3 linked regions of the Drosophila melanogaster genome follow. The gene in region 1 interacts genetically with each later gene. Each region holds a gene or a part of one and is shown on either strand. Other genes may lie near its edges.

The links.
Region 2: of Cln3 (region 1) and Hibch, changing one enhances a phenotype caused by changing the other (phenotypic enhancement), as found in Drosophila melanogaster (one study listed by BioGRID).
Region 3: of Cln3 (region 1) and bol, changing one enhances a phenotype caused by changing the other (phenotypic enhancement), as found in Drosophila melanogaster (one study listed by BioGRID).

Annotation. Positions count from the first base shown.
Region 1 is NT_037436.4:17,807,423-17,816,512, forward strand, and holds Cln3 (Cln3), read right to left. Parts: upstream 6,698-9,090; 5' UTR 6,638-6,697; intron 5,470-6,637; exon of another isoform or gene 5,374-5,469; intron 3,578-5,373; 5' UTR 3,568-3,577; coding exon 3,364-3,567; intron 3,292-3,363; coding exon 3,161-3,291; intron 3,073-3,160; coding exon 2,914-3,072; intron 2,855-2,913; coding exon 2,515-2,854; intron 2,458-2,514; coding exon 2,023-2,457; 3' UTR 1,809-2,022; downstream 1-1,808. Other genes in the region: CG32191 (uncharacterized protein), read right to left, coding at 1-350, 420-908, 998-1,157, 1,215-1,325; Ir75a (ionotropic receptor 75a), read right to left, coding at 8,240-8,465, 8,563-8,843, 8,901-9,090.
Region 2 is NT_033777.3:15,353,490-15,359,763, forward strand, and holds Hibch (3-hydroxyisobutyryl-CoA hydrolase), read left to right. Parts: upstream 1-3,739; 5' UTR 3,740-3,828; coding exon 3,829-3,831; intron 3,832-3,900; coding exon 3,901-4,785; intron 4,786-4,991; exon of another isoform or gene 4,992-5,049; coding exon 5,050-5,322; 3' UTR 5,323-5,774; downstream 5,775-6,274. Other genes in the region: Atg4b (Autophagy-related 4b), read right to left, coding at 781-1,083, 1,144-1,619, 1,787-1,863, 1,931-2,126, 2,185-3,139; Cog2 (component of oligomeric golgi complex 2), read right to left, coding at 5,794-6,076, 6,133-6,274.
Region 3 is NT_037436.4:9,126,006-9,132,661, forward strand, and holds the start of bol (boule), read right to left. Parts: upstream 4,351-6,656; 5' UTR 3,892-4,350; intron 1-3,891. UniProt on the Drosophila melanogaster protein: RNA-binding protein that plays a central role in spermatogenesis. Required for meiotic entry and germline differentiation, at the transition between G2 and M phases of meiosis I.

The sequences.
Region 1 (9,090 bases):
TAGCTCGGGCCACAAATCGATCCCGTCCAGTTTTAGAGAGCTATCCAGCTCTATGTCCGCAGCACGTGAAAGCGTGGGCAACCAGTCGGCGACGTATAAGGGCTGGCGGAAGATGGAGCCGCGTGCCTGAAGCCCGGAGCTCCAAATCGCACCAGCCACCCGTACGCCGCCCTCCCACGGAGTATTCTTCTGTCCGCGGAGTGGGAAATTTGAACCCGTATTAGAGAACATACCAACCGATGGAGCTCCATTGTCCGAGTAGAAGATCACTATGCTATTCTCCAGTTGATCTGTAGAAGACAGAGCGGTTATTATACGTCCCACGCTCTGGTCCAGTTTGGAGATCATCGCTAGGGGTTAGATTAGATATGTGATAAGTCATGTTTGGGATAAGCATTTAATTATTAAAGTGTAATTACCTGCATATTTCCTTCGGTTTGGATCCTTAATGTAGGAAAACTTTTGAATCTCTTCCTCGGGAGCTTGCAGAGGATCATCCTCGTTGGCCGTGTGGGCAGCCAAGTGGCTGAGCATCAGGAATAGGGGTTGCTCCTTATCAGCATGGTCTTTGATCAATCGTTCCGCCTCGGCGGTTAACAAATCAGTTACATAAACCCCACGATCCCGGCACTCCAACTCCATGTTCCGCCGGAAATCGTAGCCCAGACTATAGTTGGCCACCGGCATCTTGGATCGTCTCTGGAAGTAGTCTATATAAGCGCCCCAATAGCCGAAGTGGTAATCGAATCCCCGCCGAGTGGGCGTGTATTCCGGGCGCGAGAAGCCCAGATGCCATTTTCCCACCAGGTTGGTGGAGTAGCCTGCCTCCTTGAAGATCTCCGGCATCAATGTGGCATTGAGGGTCAGGGCCCAAGGCTCTTCGTTGCTGATTACAAAGTGCTGTGTGCCTGCGGTAATCAATATATGAATTGTGTGGGTTTGATTCAAATCATTGATAATAACAATCCCTGGTATACAAAAGGTAATCGATACTAACCCGTGTGTATTGGATACCGGCCGCTGAGCAATGCTCCCCGAGATGGAGTACACATTGCCGGAGCGTAGAGCCGATCCAGTAGACGACCGTGATAGGCCAGGGCGTCGATATTGGGAGTTAGAAACTCCCGTCCGCCTCGAAAGCTCACATCATCGAAGCCCTGAGAGAGTGTTTGCTTTAGAAATGGGTTGATTTATGACGGCGAAACTAGTCCCACCATGTCGTCGGCCATAATGATGATTATGTTGGGGCGCCGTGCTGCAGCAGATTCGTCCGACTTCACCCGTTGGAGGCAGAGCAAAAGCAGAAACGCTGATAAGCCCCGCATCTTGGTTACTCAACTTACGTATTAGACAATCGCGTAATATTCGACTGCCTTGCACGGCAGCTACCGATCAACTGAAACGGCGAGCGGTCCACGTAACATCTCGCCCCAAATCGGTTTGGGTCTCGATCTCCCAATCTGTCTCAGCCGGCATCTCACTGCCAAACCGATCGTTTGGCGTTCGATTTGAAACCGATCAAACCGAATTAGAAGCCACAAGCAACAAGTTTATTTAATAACCGAGCAGCTCCATCTAAGTAATTATAATGTGTAGGTAGTGTAAATACGTACAATTTAAGAGGCTTTTTGTTGGAGACAGTTGAATAAACTCAGAGCAAGTGGGGCGCATTCTGTCTGGGATCAGTGTGCTTATCAAAGTGGTTAGCCGTGAGCACTTTGTGCCGAAAAAGCCAAACTTTGCCAAGGAAAACATTTTCGGAAAAGTGCTTGCATCTGGGTACGTTGAAATTAAATGAAATCGAATGTACAGTGTAGTGTTTATTTTTTTTTTTTATTAAACTAAACTTATAGAGTAGTCTAACAGCAGCATACTAACTATACAACGATCTATCTGGTTACCGGATGTCCAGTGATCCAGTGATTAATACTATAGGGACATGCACAGACACACACGCTTATTTGGCTAAACACGCACACAGTAAAGGCATAATCTGATCCTGATTCTGATCCTCGATCCGTATCACCAAACAAGGCTTCTGGCCGCGGCCGGAAGACCACAGATGGCGTTGTGCACGGGAATGGCCAGAAATCCGGCCAGAGCAATGCCATAGGAGTCCGACTGTACCACCATGGCCATGGCGAACTGCTGGCGCTCCGGCGAAATCTCCTTGGACATCCGATAGAAGGTGTTCACGTAAGCACCGCCGCCCAGAAGTCCCTCCCACAGGACGATGGCGAACACGATCCAGATGCTAGGCGTGTACCACCAGATAACCTCGGTGAGGAAGTATACCACGTTGACGAACTGGAAGATGGACATCAGCCAGATCTTGTCCAGCTGGAAGAGATTGACAGAGGAGCGCGAGATAAAGACTCCGATCTGATAGTCCACATTTAGCCAGCGGTACTGCGAGTCCTTGTCCAGGAATATATCTTCAAAGTAAACCAGTTCGAACTGAAAAATGGATGACAATGAATGTTTTTTTGTATGAATTAAAGAAAGCTAAATTACCAATCCTTGATTGATGAAGTATTCGAAGAAGTAAACCAGGCAAAGGGGCAACATATATTTGAAGAGGTGCTTGATATAGAAGAGCTTTTCCTTGAACCCAACTAATGGCTTCTCATCGCTGATCAGGACTTCCGTGGACTCAACCGTGGTAACCGGCAATATATCAACTTGTGGACGACGAAGCAGCAACCAGAATGCAAAGGCCTCGATCGCAGGGAAGATCAGCATAATCAGCATAGTATCTCTGGGACTGAAGTCTAAGGATCTCAAGCTAGCATAGCTCAAGGATCCGATAACTCCAGCGCCACCAGTTCCGGACGACCAAGTGGAGATCACATTCCTAAGAAAAACATATGGAATTAATGATATTTTGTTTAGTACTTTTACCAGACAACTCACTTATTGTATCGCGAAGAATAGGCCAAGAAAGTGGTTTCTCCTATTCCGCTGCTAGCCGAAGTGATGATGACACCCAAAAGAGCCATCCATTCGGCATTGGCGAATCCAACCAGGAGGAAACCAGCTGCAGAAAAGGCCACGGCAAGAGCTATACGGAAACTAATAAATAAAATGCGATTTTGTGTTAGTATCATATCAAGTTTAATGCATCAAATCAAATTTATTTAATATTGTAGATAGTACTCACTTCACCCAAAATGGAAAGAATGGCATTAGAATCTTGACAAATAATGAGGGCAGCACGTCTGCCAGCAAGATGGCACCTGTTGAAACCAAGTGACAGTTTCTTCCCGACGAGCTTTCTTCCGATTCATCATTCTAAAAAGAAAAAATTATGCAGGCGAACAATTAATAAATGTATTAAAAGTGCTATAATCCTATTGTAATTACCGGATTAAACTGCTTGATAATATCGTGCGCAGCACTCAGCATCACCACGTATCCGTAGTTGTTGCACAGACCGAGGATCCAGTAGGAAGTAAGATCCCGCCATAGACCCCGATCTTGGCGAGAGCTGCGAGAGGCGTCTCCAGGGGTGACCACCACTTGGGGATCATGTTCGGCCTCAGCCTCTTGCTGCTTGGTTGCCGTCATATTGAGCCGGCTAAACAAAAATTAAAAAACCCTTTTGTTTAATATTTTTAGTGCAAATCCAACAAATTTATTTGATTCACTTCATAACTTTTTTTACCATTTACTATCTCTAATCTAAACTCATCTAGTTTCTCCTAAGAAATCAACAACTTATTTGTCTCTAAAAAAATTAATGTTGCTCTTTTTAAAAGCTTTAGCATTTACGCAAATTGTTTAATTGGTCAAGCGTGAACGAAGGTGGTTTTAAGACTTCAAAACGGCAACGAAATCAATATCACGTTTTTATAATAACAGTTTCTTTTAGTAGCTTTAGTTCAACATTTATTTGTTCCAAGAAACAAATCAGCGCCGTACCCTTAGTTCATGATCACCTTACTTAATTTACTTTGAATGGGCCAACTATTAATTGAATTCTCTTTCCCAGCTATGAGCTATTTATACTCTTAAAAGAAACTGCTATTCACTCTTCTAAGCTGAGCAAATACTACTGCTCGAGTCGAATTTAAATAAATTGTTTAATTTCCCAAGCCGAGCATGTGCGTAAGCAGTCTTGAACTTGACATAATATGGTCACTAGGGGAAGTCGCTAAAATATATGGAAAGTACGTGCAATAAATGCTTAAAAATATACAAATTGTGTTGAAGGTAGGAAAAGACAGCTGTTTAGTTCAGACTCAGGGTTTGACGGGTTAAAAGACTCATATTTATATAGCTAAGTGCCTTGCGGGATATTTTCACGGGAGGTGCACACGTATTTCCTATTTTACTATTTGAATTTGTAATAAAGTAGCCTATTACTATTACTTTACACATTTCTCAGGCATTTAACTATGCTATATAACTAGCTAATTTGCAATGTTTGGAGGTTTTAAATAAATAAGATTTTAGATAACATTCAGCTGTAGCGGGAAATAAACTACATATGTGCGATTTTACCGGATATATAGATGTACGTATATATATCACAGTTTTTTGGCAATGTTTTCGGTGGTGCAAAGTGCAGATGAATTGATTTGTTTACATCCGACAGAACTTGTGACTGATAATAGATCGAAGAGGAAATGGGGACAACAGATGGGATAATATAATCTAGACCGTTCAATGCATATATTCCCAATTCTCATTAGCGCCCTTGACTGGCAGCTTTTAATTATCCAGATCATTTAAGTTAACCTTGCAACAAGCCAAACCAATTCAAATAATGTAATCAACAGTTAGCACGAGCCCTGTTAGCCAACAAAGAAAAGGCACGCTAACTGTAAAATAATTATAACAAATTAACTAATTTAATTAATTCAGAGACCAGGCAAATGCTTTTTAGCCGTCCTGCACTTCGTTGGCCACTGACTCATTCAAGAGATTCACTTGATCCATTTGCGCAGTTATGAAGTTGTTGACCCAATTCGCAGTGCACTTTCCTATCCAGTTACTTTTGCTTGCTATCAAAAAATATGATACCCGATACTCAAAATTTATTTCGAAATATCACTGGTAAATTGAGAATGCTAGATCTTGCATATATCTTGAAAAAAAAATTCTGAAGCATAGAGTGCTTAAAGGGATTTTCGTTTTCAAATATAACTTTTTAATCAGTAAATTAATAGATAAAATAATTTTTTTTCCATAAGAAATTTTAAGCCTTTGATATTTAATTTCGCATTTTATGTAATATAATATGTAAAAGGTTGAATTTACAACAAATGTAAAAATGTTTACATAGAGTTAACTTTCTATTGCACTTTATAACTTTTCATAGCACTAATGGGTTCTTCAACTGCTCTTGTTCACTATAAAGTACAACCGTACATCTTGCCACTATTTTTCGGCTTGGTAGTTCTAAGGTTCCGAGAACTGTTGGATACGACGGCGACGACGATTCGCGCTTCGAGGCGATCGGTGAGTGACTGAACCTGTGCGAACCCTCCCAACGGAACGAGAACCAATAACAAGCGGCGACTACAATGGAGCCAAGCGGCTGGGAGCCCAAGTATGAGGTATCACGCGAGTTGCCAGCGGCAGCATAAAAACTAAAACAATTAAAAGATGCAGCAAGTGCCAAAGTGCCGATCAGCAGGTTGATCGTACGTAGATCGCTAGCAGGTAGCACACATTACAGATTACATATATAGTATCATTTAATTCAATTCAATTCGATTTGATTCGATTTGATTCGAGCGGCAAAAGCGGGGGAGTTGAGGTCGGTCAGCGAACGTCACGTTTTTCGAGTTGGCAAGTGCATTCGCATTGGGTTTAGAATACCCCTTCTTCTCAAGAGTGCGAAGATAGCGATAAGATGTTCGAATTTCTCGATGGGGGAAAATCTGCGAACCTTGTGATTCTTTATGGTGGGAAATGCTTATCGGCTAGCGGTCTTTGGCATTCAAAGATCCCAAGCAATCCGATAGTCGAACTGGTATAGATTAGATTATGAAGATATTGTGTCACTACGAAGGGTTCTTAAAGATTTTCCAATACTTTTGAACGCATGTGCTAGCTCTTGATTAATGTATTGAAAACGATCAAGTTAGCAACTGTATTTTGGAGGGTATTTCAAACTTCGTGTTTGTGTTAGCTTTCGTAATTAGCACCTGTTATTGAATAAGTCATAGCTATTTTAATTACGCTTAACTTTAAGTTAGGCAGTTTAATTGCGGATAGCGCTGTTAGCTTTAATTTGTGCTGCCCAATATCAAGTAAGCTCTAATGGTCGTTCCCTCTAAGTTTATTGTTTTTCAACGGGCGCACGTGGCGTATGCGTAATCCGAAAAGTGCTCCTAAGCTCAAAAACACCTGTTTTCTAGTAGAAAGATTTTAAAAAGTAGTATCGATAAATTCACTTGTTTTTTTTTTTTTAAAGTTACACAGTAAACCAAACGGAGGTCATTTAACTCGATGACAAACGGTTCGGCTATGCAAATCACATTTACCCGTTCAACTGGAAATGCTGGCTAATTTTATAACAATTTCATTTGAAACGGAACCCTGAGATACTTTCTACGGCCATAAATCCGGCGTAAAATGCAATAAACATTACTCCCCCGAGTGAATACCAAACACCAGCCGTACGTACACTTTCGAATTATTTCCGGCTGCCACTCAATCCGCTCGAGCAATGAAAATCTACTGAGGACTCGTCGAATACGGGCCTAGATTACAGCCGGACCAGTTGCAATCGACATTATCATTATCGTTAAGTGGCCAGCAGATTAAATTACAGATAAGACGTTCGCAGCATTGGGCCATATAAATCTTAAGATATCACTGGCAATGGCAATTCGTATATGACAGGCTCTGGGGAACAGAAAGGGTAATCAAACTGATGAGGTGATGGCCATAAGCCCGCTTCCCCCTTTTTATCTTTTCCCGTACACTTAAGTCTAATAATCGTACCGGCCAAGAGTTTGGTCATAATAAATTTCTCGGGTATCGTTTTCCCATCCACAATAGCTCCGTTTAAATTAAATCCGTTTCGCGCTCATTTAGCACGTACGGAAACCGCCAAAACCAATTTCACACCGCAGCCGCAAAGCATGGAACACTTTTTACTTGCCACAGGGCTATACATTGCATTTAAAAAAGAGAACATGTTGTTGACAAATTGCAAAATAAAGTGGTTAAGGCTGCTAGGGATAAAAAGGGACACCCGTGTTCGATGTTGTAAATAATAAATAATTCACAATTGCTTGTCAATTTCGAGTCACTCCAAAGTTGTCCTCCCTGCGAAGGGAAAGTAGTCCTTTCATGGCATAAACTATGGCCAAAGCGATGCCCTGTTGACAGCCAGATTGAGTTGACAAATTGTTAAGGCAATTTGTTATAGTAATACTTTGGGAATTCCGGAATGCCAGTGAGTGCTGTTTGGCAAGCAGTTGTGTCAGTTGCATTTTAATGGTCGACTGGGAGTCATTTAAGAACGAAGTTCTTAATACTATTTGCTTGACTTAGGCAAATGTAAAATCTTGAAAAAATATATAATTTACTGCGTATTTGATTAGCAGCCATATAATACCATTTATTTGCTCCTACACCCAATTTAATAATATTTGTGCGAACTCAACTCACTCTTATTTATTGTACAATCAATTTCGATAAAGCTTTGACACGTCCCTTCCCATATTTGTCGCCTCTGGCGATGCGCCATCATTAAAATACCATAAATCATCTCGGGGCAACATGCGATGTCTGCGGTAGGGAAACTACTGATTCCGGTGAAATTCGGGGAAATGCGAAAAACACAACTGTTAACTGTTTCTAATAGGCCGTATTAGGCTCACAATCAGTTATCTAACATTCGCACGTGGCATTGGGGAACAAAGTTTCAATTCGAATGTGGCCGTGCACGAAAATGCAAATAAAATGGCTCCAAGAGAATGAATAAAATCATTGCCAAAAGGGAAAATGGAGTATAAAAAGTAACCGCCAAACACGAAAAGTTTTTAATGCAAATACGAAAATCGCATGGAAACATGGCCACCACGTCCTTTGCAAACCCCTTTATCCATCCCTCCGTTTAACGAGCCGTGCTGCAATTTTCCGGCGCGAAAACAGGAAGTGAGGAAAGCGTCGCCCTGCATAATTTTGCGATGCGAAAAGTTAACGCAAAGTGTTTTTATTTTCTCCTGGGTGCAAATAGAATATAGTTGTTACAGCAGCTTAAAGCGATTTTAAAGCACTACGGGTGAAAGGTGAGATGACGCGTGAAAAAGCGCTTCCAGGCCAGTTCCACCAGCAGGATTACCACGACCAGGATGTCGGCGCAGATCAGCATGAGGAGCAGAGGAGCCACGTACTCCATTCCCACGGTGATGACGAAGTTCTGGGCCACGCAGTGCAGCTTCATGTGCACCCAGTAGCTGCGCTGCTTCCGGTAGACACCAGTTTCCAGGATCCTAAGGAATCTAAAATAATACATACGATTTTAATACATTTAAGATGTTTTTGAATAGCATAAAATTTAGTTATACTTGCTTTTGGAAGAGTAGCATAAGGGCTTACCGAAGTCTGAAGAGCTCCTTGTACGTGGAGTTGCGATGTAAGTGCGTGTAGAATAGCTGCTCGGGTCGAAATAGAACTTCGTTCAAATCGCAAATCTCTTGAGCCGTAAAGTACCGCTCCACATATGCATATCCGGAAGAGGTTTCGAACACGTAGACATAGCCAGGATTATCCCTGACCCTTAAAACACCCTGCTCAGCGGGCAACCAGAGTTCAGGATTCTGGGTCTGCGATTCGATTTTGCGTTTTATGAACAAGTGTATTTCCGGTAGTCTTGAGTACTGAAATTAAAAAAGCTCTTTGCAGTTAAGAATGGTTAGGAATGGAATGAAACCAACATTTAGGTAGCTCTTGGTGAAGGGAAGTGGCTCCAAGCCCACGGTTAGGGAACTCTCCGCCAGCTGCCGCATCGTTTTTATCTTGGACTTGACGGGCGAGCTTAGTAGAGATGAAACGACTACGGAAGTGTAGTAGTTGTACATAATAAAGCTGATCAGGAACAGGGCGAAGTAAATTAGTCTGCCTCCA
Region 2 (6,274 bases), on another chromosome or scaffold:
AAATATGGATCCAACCAAAATCTTGGTTGTTTGCAAATAATAAGAGGTATGTACACTTCGCAAGCTGTAATAATCCCAAACGAAAGACGAGGTTGTGGGTTAAATTACTTATTCATAAAAGACATTAAAACTAGTTAGTCTAATTTAATTTTAATTCCGTGCAATATTGTATCTATATCATACATTCATATCCCATCAGCTAAAATCTCATGACACCCTAATTGTATTTAGTATAAGTTAGGATAGTTTATTCATTTACTCGAGGGTATATACAATTAATGTTAAAACTAAATAATGATCGAACAATTACAAGACGACTTACATAATTTAACTAAACTCTAGAACTAAGCGCTACATGAAATACTTCAAAGAATAGTGACAATTGTGGCACCATTGTAAAATAATTCAATTCCATTAAAGATTCATGATTTTAAAATAATAATACCGCAAATTACATAGGTTTATATATAACACATATAAACAGATCGGGCTGCTCGAACATGGAAATAGCTGAAAAACTTTGGCAGAATGCGAGACGACAGGTCGAACAAAAGAGAGATTAACGTGGACATCAGTAAATATTCAAGATACATGCATGCGTCTATGTACTATATGCGTAGGCGTAAAGGTACAACAAAGTCTTTGTGTTTGAGATACGGGTCTGTTGGGTTTTTCTGGGCGAGCAAGCAAGCAGCAGCGGCTGGCAACTAAATCAAATAATAATGAGCAAATAACACAGCTAGCACAGCAACAGGGTTATGTGGTGGTGGCGGCAACGATCTACAGCAGCACAAACTCTTCGCTTTCACTATCATCTTGGTCGTGCTCATCGCCGTGCTGTGGCGGCGCCAGTTGAGCGCCCAATTCCTGGGCCAGAGAAGCCACCTGTTTTATGAGCGGCTTGTACAGCGAATCGCTCATTTCGTCCCGCTCGTGATCCATGCAACGACCGCGGGAAAATGAGAACAATGGATAGTTCATCTCTGTTTGCTCGGTTTGATGGGATGACTGAGGCGTCGTATGATGGCTCCCGGCCGCCTTATCCACAGTTGCCCCTGAGGCGCAACGCATAGGATGCAAATACTGTTGAAATTAAGATATTTAATAGGACGTTGGAAAACGAAATGTTTGGCTTTTGCTTACCAACTGTACGCTCTCCATAAAATTGTCGAAATCACTTTTGGTGGCACAGTAAAAGCCGATACAACAACTAGGATCCATTTTGCTGGCCTTAAGCTTCCGCGGCGACTTGCAGTGAAACGAGTGCAGGGAGAAGTTCTCTTGGTTCACATCCACCATCTCCTGGCAATAGTGCGGATCCAAGTGGATGAGCCTGTCCTCCTGGAAGCCGACAAAGTACAGCGAATGCTTTGGCTTTCCACCAAGGATGCCCAGGCAGTGTTCTGTACTCAGCAGCAGCTTCAGACAATGGGCATACACAGGATTCAGTTTATCACTGCCCAGGCGCAAAGGTATCAGAACGATGAGGGACTTCCAGTGCTGTTGTTGCTCCGTTTTGGTAGTTTCCGCCTGCGGCCGCTTCGCTTGTTGCCAAGGCACATGGGGTTTTGGCGCCGGTTCCGGAATGCTGCATTGATCCTCAATATCTTGCAAGTAAACTAAAACAACACAAAGACGGTTATCAAATCACATACGTTATCAATTGAGCCCCTGAGTAATGAGCTTCGCGAACAAGGTTGCAGCAATTACTCATGAACATATCAATGTGTCATGGTAGTTATCTTATGAATCTTTGATTAAGGGATTCCTTTCTGCTTGAACTTACTCGTGCAATCTTTGGCTACATAGACACTAATATTGTCAAAGTCTGCATTTTCCTGAGCCGCGTGCTCTAAGGCGTGTCTGTGGTGAAGTTGAAGAGTTGTTTGATTTAATAAAGATTAAAAAAGCGATAAAGATCTGTACTCACTTAAGCAAATAGGAAACAGAGGCGGGACCGTACCAATCGCCAGGTTTTTTACCCAAATGCTCCCCCAGCCGCACCAGGGCGTGGATGGAGAAGGGACTGCTTTTTGAGGAACTGTCCCCGAACCACTTGACGATCTTCTTATGCATATTGTCCTCGTAAGTCGAGTGCAACTGGGACTCTGAATCATAGCGCCAGCCTGAAGCATAAAGGTTTATTGGTAATCAAACATATTTGTGCGGGTTCATTTAACTTACTTCGCCCTAGGAAGTGACAGATGAGTCCTTGAGCGAAGAGCATCTGACCACTCCTTAGCATACAGCCCCAACCGCAGTCCGAGGTGTAGTTGGAGCCATTCATTATTGGGAACTCTCGACGGTAGGTCATCCAAATCCTACTGTAAAAGTCACGACGAAAGCCTTCGATGCCCTCCTCCCAAGGCTGTTCGCCCACTTGGTTCTCCACCGCGTCCATTCCCAGTTCCTGGGGCACCACAATCTCATCGATCTGCTGCGGATTAAGGGCTGGATACAAGGAGGTTGATGTCGATGTGGCCTGAATGCTGTCGAACGCCGATGTGGCGTTATCGGGGGTGGTATCCGCCCCGCTGGGCAGCTCGGTGATGGAACTTTCCATGCTTACGGGCGGAGTAAAGCGTCGATGATAGCACCGTCCTAGCAGCCACACGGGCTGCTCCTTTGAGAAGCTGGTCTGCCTCATCTTGCCGCTCCAGCCATACTTCACATTGTGCCACATTGCGACGAGCTTGGACTCCATGCCCTTGGTGGGAGTACGGTTTGCCGACAGGTCACCGGGTTCCTCGTTGTGCTGCTCCACGTGACCGCAGCTCGGACCGCTGTTGCCGCCGCCGTAGAGCTGACTGAAGGCGTTCATGAAACGTGATGACGTCGATATTTTGCGCTGCGGAGTCGCTGTCGCAGCGTTTTCCGTCTTGAGGTTCAGATTGGCACCTGATGTGCTTACGGGGGAGGGGGAAGGGACGCGTGGAACGGCGAATACAGTGCGATGAATCGTCTGTATGGGGGCCGCCTGCTCCTCCTCGATGGCGCCGTCCTCCACCAGCGGCAAGGAGAGCGGATCCGCATCCTGGCCGCATATCCGGCTACCCTCTACAATGGTCCCCTCGCCGGCGGCTTCGAAGAGCATCAGTTTTTCGTCGGTCAACTTGGAAAGGAGGCCGTCATAGTTCATCTGGTTGGTGGCCGTGGACGAGGACATGAAAACAGAGGCGGAAGTGGTAGAAGAGCTATGACGCTTTGTCCGCAGCTTGCGGAACTTAAAGAACTGCGGCATTGTAATCTTGGTGCGAGCCCCTTGCTGGCCCTGGCTTAACTGACAACCGACCACCGATTGCGTGCTAATTACAAATGTTTACTCACCGTTTATTTGTTGACAAAATAAGATAAAGTAACTCCACGAAATTTGTTTTTCTTATTCGCGAGAAGTACAATTGCCAATTTCAGTGTTGCCAGACTGCAAATCTGCTCTATTATGAATATGTAGGTAATGTGTGTTCTTTTTTACGTTTATCTACTAATGAGTTCAAAATGAATAGTGAATTTTGTTATCAACAGGTTTGTGTTAAACTATTTTTAAACAATTTGTATCTTTATCTAAAATTCTTATACATATAATATTTGAATTAATAAATTAAAAGGCGCCTGGTATAGGTCTGCCCTTGGCATGTCCATTTAATAGTAATATTTTACGCGGAAAACGATTTCTGGAACACCCTTATTTACTTCCGGCATGTGTGCGGTCTGGCAGCTCCGCGACAAGAATGACCAGCTGTGCGGGTGCTAAAATTCTATTGCGCAACGCTGAATTTCTAAACACTCGCTTCGCCCCACACACAACATTACTGACGACAGCCGCTCAAAATGGTAAGTAATGCAAATTCCTGCAAATAGAAGCGCTTAGCTAATCGAAAACAATTCGATGTCGCCGTCCAGCAGGGCCCAATTCAAAGGTTGGTGTACACATTTGGTCATCGCACCTGTAGCCAATTGCCGATGATCGGCGGAGCAACGATATCCCAAACAAAACCAACAACAATGGCTCTCTCCGTTCGCCAATCCTCCTCCTCCGTGCTGGCCACGGAGTCCTCTAACAAGGGAATGATTATTCTGAACCGGCCCAAGGCGCTTAACGCCATCAACTTGGAGATGGTACGCAAGATCTACAAGCACCTGAAGAAGTGCGAGAAGTCCAAGTCGCTGGTGATCATCAAGGGCACAGGTGACAAGGCCTTCTGCGCCGGTGGAGATGTGCGCGCTCTGGTCGAGGCTGGCCCTACGGATGAGTCGAAGAGCTTCTTCCGGGAGGAGTACAGCACGAATGCCCTGATCGGAAACTATAAGATTCCCTACATCGCCATCATTGACGGTATTACCATGGGCGGTGGCGTGGGTCTGAGTGTGCATGGCAAGTACCGGGTGGCCAGCGATCGGACACTGTTCGCCATGCCCGAGACGGCGATTGGCCTCTTCCCGGATGTGGGTGGATCATACTTCCTGCCTCGACTGCAGGGAAAGCTGGGCCTCTATCTGGGTCTCACAGGATATCGACTGCGCGGAGCCGATGTCTATTACTCAGGCATTGCTACGCACTACTGCGAGAGCAGCAAGATCCCTGATCTGGAGACGGCTCTCCTTAACTGCCCGGATGCGGATGATGTGCCTGAGCTGCTGCAGAAGTACCATTCCCCGCCAGAAAAGCCCTTCTCGCTGCAGCCTGTCCTGGAGCAGATCAACAAGAACTTTTCAGCGGACTCGGTGGAGGGGATTCTAGAGAATCTGCAGAACGATGGCAGTGAATGGGCCAAGAAGACGCTTGAGGTGAGTGGGGCACAGTTTACTAAGTGATAAGAACACAATCGGATGTTAATTGGCTGGGCCAATCATCGCTTGACGCGCGCTTTTAGCGCCTAAATATTTGATCCGTTTCCAGCCAATTAGCAACGCTTTAGTTGCTGCACGACTTTTCTTAACTGAATAAGTTACACTAGCTCACAAACTCACACCCCACACCTTGTTGCATTTTTCTATTAGAGTTGAATTTTATTATTGAAATCAGACACATTGCTTTTTTCTTTGTTTTAGACGCTCTCGAAGATGTCTCCCACCTCGATGAAGGTTACGTTCCGTCAGTTGGAGCTCGGATCACAGCTGTCGCTGGCTCAGTGTCTTATTATGGAATATCGTCTGGCCGTGCGTCATCTGGAGCGAAGTGATTTCAAGGAGGGAGTGCGCGCCCTACTCATCGACAAGGATCAGAAGCCCCAGTGGCAGCCAACCAAGCTGGCCGATGTCACTGAGGAACATGTGCAGTGGTTTTTCCGCAAGCTACCGGACACCGAGGAACTCAAGCTGTAATGTAGCAAGCTTAGTTTTGTTTTTGTTTGAGCCTTGGCATCCAATCCTGTTTGTCTTCCGTTGAGCCGCTCATTCTTATATGCACACAACTTAATATCTTTGTATATATCATTGCAAGCTTGAGTTATGTTATGCATGGTTCCTTGCCTGCCGTTTTGCAATATTCTTTATATATCTTTAGCGTTCTGTGGCCACAGTTTGATGAGTTCTGTCGGCTAATTTTCCGCAATCTCTTCTCTGTTTCATTCCAACAGCGAATAACTTCGAGGAAGAATCCTATTCGCCGGTATTTACCAATAACGATTGTGAAATTCAATGCATTTAAATATATGATATACATATATGCCTATATATATTATGTACAATTCGTAGTCCTAATACAATCAATAATTGTGCCTAAAGAATCGTTAGAATTCGTTTACCAAGAATAAAAAGAAGTGTATACGTTTAATAACTGATCGTTGTTGGTGACTAAGCGCTGTTATCCTTTAGCTTGATACTGTCCTCCACCATGTTTGTCAGCTCGACTAGCTTATCGATCTGGGTGGCCTGAAAGTTTAGTTTGCACAGCTCCTGCCTCCAGGATGTGACATCCACTCGCAGTTGGACGCGAATCTTATCATCGTCAGACATTACAGCCGAGCTTCCAGTCGAAACAGTCGCGGCTCCGCCACTTTTTACATTTCGCAAGCGTCGCAATGACTCCTCGGTTTTCTGTACGGATGTGAGCACATCGCTCACCACATTGAAGTACCTATAGTGCGAATAAAAGTTCAGAGAAATTCGAACCCATCGTAAAATTATACTCACGCCTTGGTTATGTGACTAGCAACTTCCGCCAAGATTTGTTCCACCACCAGGGTGCCAAGCTGGGACTCGTTCTGCTGGGCAAATGCCTTCAGCGGTCGCAGCATTTGCTCCACATAGCTCGAACATCGTGTGGGAACCTCTC
Region 3 (6,656 bases), 8.7 Mb from region 1:
TTGTTCGCATCTGCTTTGTGCTAATCTGACTGGTTTTGTTTAAAATCCAGGCCAATGAGGCGTGGTGAGCAACACCTATTTTTTGGGGGGCTTCTAGTTATAATACTAATTAACCGAATTCGTTGGGTTCTGGCCGACCAGCCAACTGGCCCTATTGTTATTCATATGGGCCGAAAGCAGTGTGCAGCGTCGGCAGCGACTGCGAAGTTGGCAGCGACGTCAACGGTTTTGGCTGGACGGGCAGCAAACACAGTTATGTTTCGAGCTTTTTGATTCTTTACTTATTGTGCAATGATCCGAGGCAACTTAATTGCTTTTCGTTTGGGTTTTCGGCTGCGACGAGAATAGCAGTCAGTCAGTTCAGTTTAGTTCAGTTTTGTTTTTCCACATATTTTCCACTTTTGAGCTCTCTTTGCGCTACGCTGCACTTCAAATGCTCAATTGTTGTCTATCAAAGGCGCACCCCCCACCACCACCACCACTGCCCCCCCACCCACACTATCAACCACTCCGTGAAACTTTGTCATTGTGGGAGGACGCATAAATAACGCCACTGATAAAAAATGGGCGAAGGGCGAGCGAATCTAAAGCTCGTAATTATGGCCAGCCAGTCCCGTCCGTCCGCTAGCTAGGTAATTTTTTTTCATTTCATTTTTATCAGCTCTCAGCGCTTCACTTACATAAGCTGGACAAAAAAAAAACAGCGGAAAACACGTTGGAAAATTGCGAGAAGCGTCTGTTTGTGAAGTTGGAAAATTTGAATTTCATCAACGGCAAAGCAGAGCGAAAGCAAAGACAGGCAGCGGACGAAACAATCATGATAATTAAATTGAGTTCACTGATGCGTATACTTAACATTAAATTCAAAGCCAGAAGCAATGCAAAAAAAAAAAAAAAACGCTGCTGCTCTGCCCCCACAAACGTGGAAAAATATATATTAAAATCAGCAACTGCTTTAAAAAAGTGTGTAGGAAAAAAGAACCTTCAACTGCCAGAGGTTTTGATTTCCTTCCTTTTTTGGTTGGAGCACCACCAGAGGATGTGCTTGTTGTTAGAAGCGGAACACAAAAAATTATATAGGTTAGCGCTATAGCCTTCGCATCCCTATCCCAATTTGGGACTTTGGGCTATATACTTGGGCATCCGTCCAGAGAGCGAGAAAAATGGCAAGAGAGAGCGAGAGAGAGAGAGACGCGTGAGCGGCGCAGAGAAGCGAGAAAATGTGTGCCGTGTTGGGAACATGCAAATGTGGGGCGACTGCCCACGCAACACCCACTTTTCCGCCCACTAACCCATCGCCAACAACAATGTTGCCAAGAATACGGAAATATTTTTGAGTGGATGCTCTCTGCGAAAAATATATGCACTACAAGAAACTTTGACAAATTATCATGCTTATGTATAATATTTAAAAGTGCCACGAAAACTAAAATTAGCATAGGTATTTTACACTATGAAAACAGTACAGTAATTTTGTTTTAAGTTTAAATCTTCAGAAAACTATAACTTATAGAATCTATACAATTTGTGTATCAGATTGTGTTTGTGTCTGGAGAAAATCAAATTAAATATCGCCTGCTTAATGTTATCAATTTAATGAGCCAAGTTGGGAATTCCCTCCTGGGGGTTGGTCAAATCGGCCATCAAAGTTGGCATGCCCCAAGCTGCGTGAGAAGGGCCGGCGGAAAATCAAAGCCACTTTTTGCGCTCTTAAGTGCAAAAATTAAACACAATCAACCCCCCAAGGCGAATCTCTTACGCTCGCCCCCCAAATTTCTCTCCGCTTTCTCTCTCTCTCTCTCTCTCTGTCGAATTTCTCGTCCGATATTTTCCCATATCATTGGCTCTCATCACTGCTCTTCGTGTGCATTATTTATTGCTCTTATACAGCCCGAATGTTTGACGATGACGAAGGTGCTCCACTGTCAGTGTCACCACCCCCGCCCACTCTCTGTAATTCAGATTCCCCCTAGCTCTCTCGCTCTCTCCCTCTCGTTCGTCACCTTTCCCTTTCGCTCCCTTGGCTGGAGCCCAGTTAACTAGTAAACCAGCAACCTATAATGGAGCCTCTTCCGTGTTGTTATCCCTATCCCACGACGTCGCGTATTCCCCACAGAGAGAAAAATCATCGGCCATTAGTCATGAATTCGCAACGGTTATGATGTAATGATGAATTATCTGGGGAGTTGTTTTTGGATACGTATTTGCAGTGCTCTCTACCCTTGTCTAGAATAAATTTCCACCTATAAGTAGTTTTTAGAGATAGACATCTCATGAACGAAAGCTGTTTCCTTATCCATTTGATCTCTACTCATACAAAGAGATTCTTGAGATGCAAACATATGCAGTATGATATGATATGAACTCTTTCACTGATTTTTCTCAGTGCACTATCCCAATTCTATCCCTTTTTCGCATCCCGGAAAATGAGCACCAGCTGTCTGCCATTTGCCTTCAATTTTCCCCATTCATGTTTGTTTTGCTTTTCGCCTGACTGTATAATAAATAACTTTGAAATAAATCAAATCGGATCCTGGGCCAATGGACACATGTTAAATGGACCGAGAAATCTAAGCGGGGCATCATCACATTTTTTTATTGGATCAAAATCAACAAGAGCAGCGTCGGCGACCTTAAAACGCATTAGCAGCCGCTGTCGGCCAAGTCGTAATAATTTTATTAGCAAACATCAGAAATATAAAAATGCCGCTGCTCGGAGGCAAAAGAAAAAGAAATAAAAGCGGCTACAATTTCGAAAGGTGTTGGCTTTTTCAGAAGTTCAAATTCAAACGGCGTGTGAGTCGGTGGGCGGGGGGAGGGGCTGTGACAAGTGCAGGCGTGCTCAAGGTAAAAGCGCCGCCGCCGCAGTCGCCGTCGACGCTGACAGCGCTGTCGACTGCAACTCGGCCGAAATCCGAGTGCAAGATCAAGTGAAGCGAGTGGCCGAAAAACTAGAGAGAGGCAAAACTACGAAAGTCGGAGAGCGAGCCATTTATCATTTTACATCACAAAAGATAAGCTGGCGAATAGGAGATACTCAGCATATACATATATGTACATTCACATACATATGTACATACATGTGTAAGTTAAAAAGTAACTATCTTTGTATAAAAGAATCTAGCAATTAATAATAAATAAAAAAGCAGTTCTGCCTCTAGGAAAATTATATTAGGGCCTAAAAATCTCATGTATTGACCTTATATTATTATAATATTATTTGTTATGCTGACAAAACCACATATGTTTTGTATGTACTAATTATCAATATTTCGTGATATGATTAAACGGTTTTATTGTGTAGAATCTATACTAATAAGCTGTTCTACAATATTCCCTCACATAAGTACAGGGTATTTAAGTTGGTCGCGCGGGTGACAGACATTCTGTCTTTTTCCCACCTTTCGCCGCCCTCTCTTTCGCACACGTGCAGCGGCACTACATGTTGTTGTTTTGTTTTTTAGGCATTCTGGAGGCGATGCTGTTTAGGCCGCTTTTAGTCAAGTGGCCGTGCAGCGACGCCAACTGCGGCAGCGCAGCTGCGACTAGATGAAAAAGAACAAATTGACTAAGCACGAAACACGTTTTAGCCAGAGTTTTTAGCCAGACTAGCAGCTCGAATCGGAATCGGAATTGGAATCGGTGGGAGCGGGACGGCGTGTGACATACTGACCCAATTCCGGGTTTCGATTTTCTGGTTTTTCTCAAGAATACACGTTTTCCGCTGCATAAACACACACATAAGCGTACGCGGGAGCGAAAGAGGCAGAGCGGCCAAACGAGTTGCATGGCCAAGAATTTTCGCCTGGCATTTTTCATTTTCCCTGCGAGTGACATTCATCCTCCCCCCACCCAAAAGCAATCCCCTGTTCTGTCATCAGGAAAACTCACCGTTAGCTGCGTCCTCCTTGGAGATTTTTCTGATTGCGTCCAAACTACGTCGTTTCCACAGGCTGCCTTACGTTACGTCTTACGTGAGAGGGGACACAGTTTACAGTTACAGCCTTTGCGTATCATTAATATTCCTTGTGATGAACGTTTATCCCAGATACGATGCGTTTGTATATATGTATCTTAATATCCAGTATTCAATATCAATATCAATAACGTCGGTGATGAACAAGAACCAGAAGACCAAAAACGATGGGATGATGGGATGATGGGATTTAGCTTGATATTCTCTTGGTTTCTTTTGTAATTTAATTATTTGCTCTTCTTTCTTTTCCGATATTTAGTGGTGTTTACTTGTATATATTATTGTTGTGTGTTCCGATTTAAAACAATTTTACTTGAATATATATATATATAGCACTAGACAACTTACTTCCTACGAATCACAATTAGAAATGAGTGTAAGGCGACGACCGAAAGGAAAACTCCCGTCAAAATGAAAAACTACGCGCCGTCTACTTGGGCGGCCGAGAAAAACCAAAACACTGTGGCGACACACCACATGTGTTTTTCTCTTCCAAAAAACCCAAAATTCCAAGGATGGTGGGGGCGATTGCAAAGGAAAATTGAAGCCAGGAAAACTCTCTTCAATATTTACCGTTCACCGTTTAGCGATATAGCACAACAATTTTAGTTCTACAACTGCTCTCGTGTAATGATGAACTCCAATTAAGAACACAAGTCCGTTTTAAGTTGAAGGCAGCCGTCGGGCTGACATATATTTATTCAATTTCTTCTTTTGATTTTAGAGTAGGCAGAAATGGTTCTGTCAGCTCAACGTCTACAGAGTCTCTCCGATTTTACAGTTTTTTATATATTTTGACTTAGGCTAATCCGCGTAGCTGCGCTGCCGGGTACGCCAGCAGCGGAGCGGCGTTCTTATGTATATCTTATATATCTAGGCTTATCGGGAGAGCGAGATATGTATGTACGTATGTAATATGTATTTGGTCGGCGTGTGAATGCTGACCATGCACTTATACTTTTTGCCTTCGAGTGGGCAATGCACTTATACTTTGTGGCCTTCGAGTGGGTGATCATGTTACATCCGCCCTGGCCTAACTGCGTGCATAAACATAAACATAGCAACAAAGTGCTGCCATAAGTTAATATGCTATTTTATTTAATTGTTCTTAATATTGCATAGGCACATACTACATCTCCCTCCTTTTGAAAAATAACGTAACCTAGTGAAGTTATTTTGATTATTAAATGCAAATTATTTTATTTTTATTTTTATTTTGTTTGTGTTTTTGTTTGAACAACAATAGTTGATTTTATAATGCAAAGATAAAAATATACGTAGTGTATGGAAAATTTGTATAAATGATTAAGGAAAATATAAGTTTAAATTCAATCATGAATGAAATTTCTTTAATCTATCTTTATGAACTATTTGTTTTTTGTTTTTATTAGTAAGTAGCGTAATATTGTTATTATCTCCTATGCTTTCTATCTTATAGGGCCCCGTATATTTAAAGTCTAATTTATGACCTACCTCATTTCTTAGTAAAACTTTATCTCCTACTTCTAATTCTATGTCTTTTATTTTTAAGTCATAATTTTCTTTATTTTTTTCTTTGTGTGCTTCAAGAAGTTTTCTTGCTCGAGCATATGCTACCTCTAACCTATATTTACTCTCCTTAGCGTAATCATCTATGTTATATATTGGTTCTATGCTATGTAGTTTATTAAAATGTTTTGGTAAATTACTTGTTCTACCGAAAACTAATTCATATGGACAATAATTATGTACCATAGATTGGGTCGTGTTGAAGCAGTATACGAAATATTGAAGCCATACGTCCCAATCGGTTTTGTCCGTCGATATGTAGGATCGTATATACTCGTTTAAAGTTCTATGACTTCTTTCTACTACTCCAACTGTCTGGTGGTGATGAGCTGTTGATGTTATATTTTTTATTTTCAAATATTTACACAGGTCAGTAATTATTGAATTCTTATACTCTGTTCCCATGTCCGTTATGAACGTCTTCATTGGACCGTACTTTAGAATAAAAGATTCAAATATAGCTTTTGCGACTGTTTTTGCGCTTTTATTTGCTATTGGTATGGCAACTAAGTACTTGGTTAAATCACATATGAGAGTGACTGCGTACTCGTTACCATTTTCTGACTTGGGTAGTGGACCAATTGTGTCCACAACAACTCTATCGAAAGCATGTTCTGGTGTTTCAGTTATCGTCATTGGAGTCTTTGTGTGCTTTGTTGTTTTTGCTTTTTGGCATTTTTGACATTTTCTTACGTACTCTTTTATGTATTTACTCATATTTTTCCAGTAATAATGTCTTTTGACCTTGGCCAAGGTTTTTGTAATGCCTGTATGCCCTCCTTGTATTGGATCATCATGTAATGTAGACAATATAGCTTCTTTTTCTTTTTCATTATTTATTTGGGTCACCGGGTTAAGTAGCGCTACTTTTAAATTCTTTAATATTTTATTGCCCATATTTTTAAATTTATCTATTGAAACGTGTTCAAAGATTTTTTTCCACGGTGCCATTTTGATTTGGCTGATATCATATATACCGGCCTGCAATTCAAGCCTTTGGAGAAATTGATCTAAATCAAGAATTCCATTAGTATAAAGATCACCAACATCATATCTTGCAATAATTTTCTTTCCATGTTTAAATAAACATATCGAGTCATTCAATTGCAATGTCACTACTTTTCGTACCTCG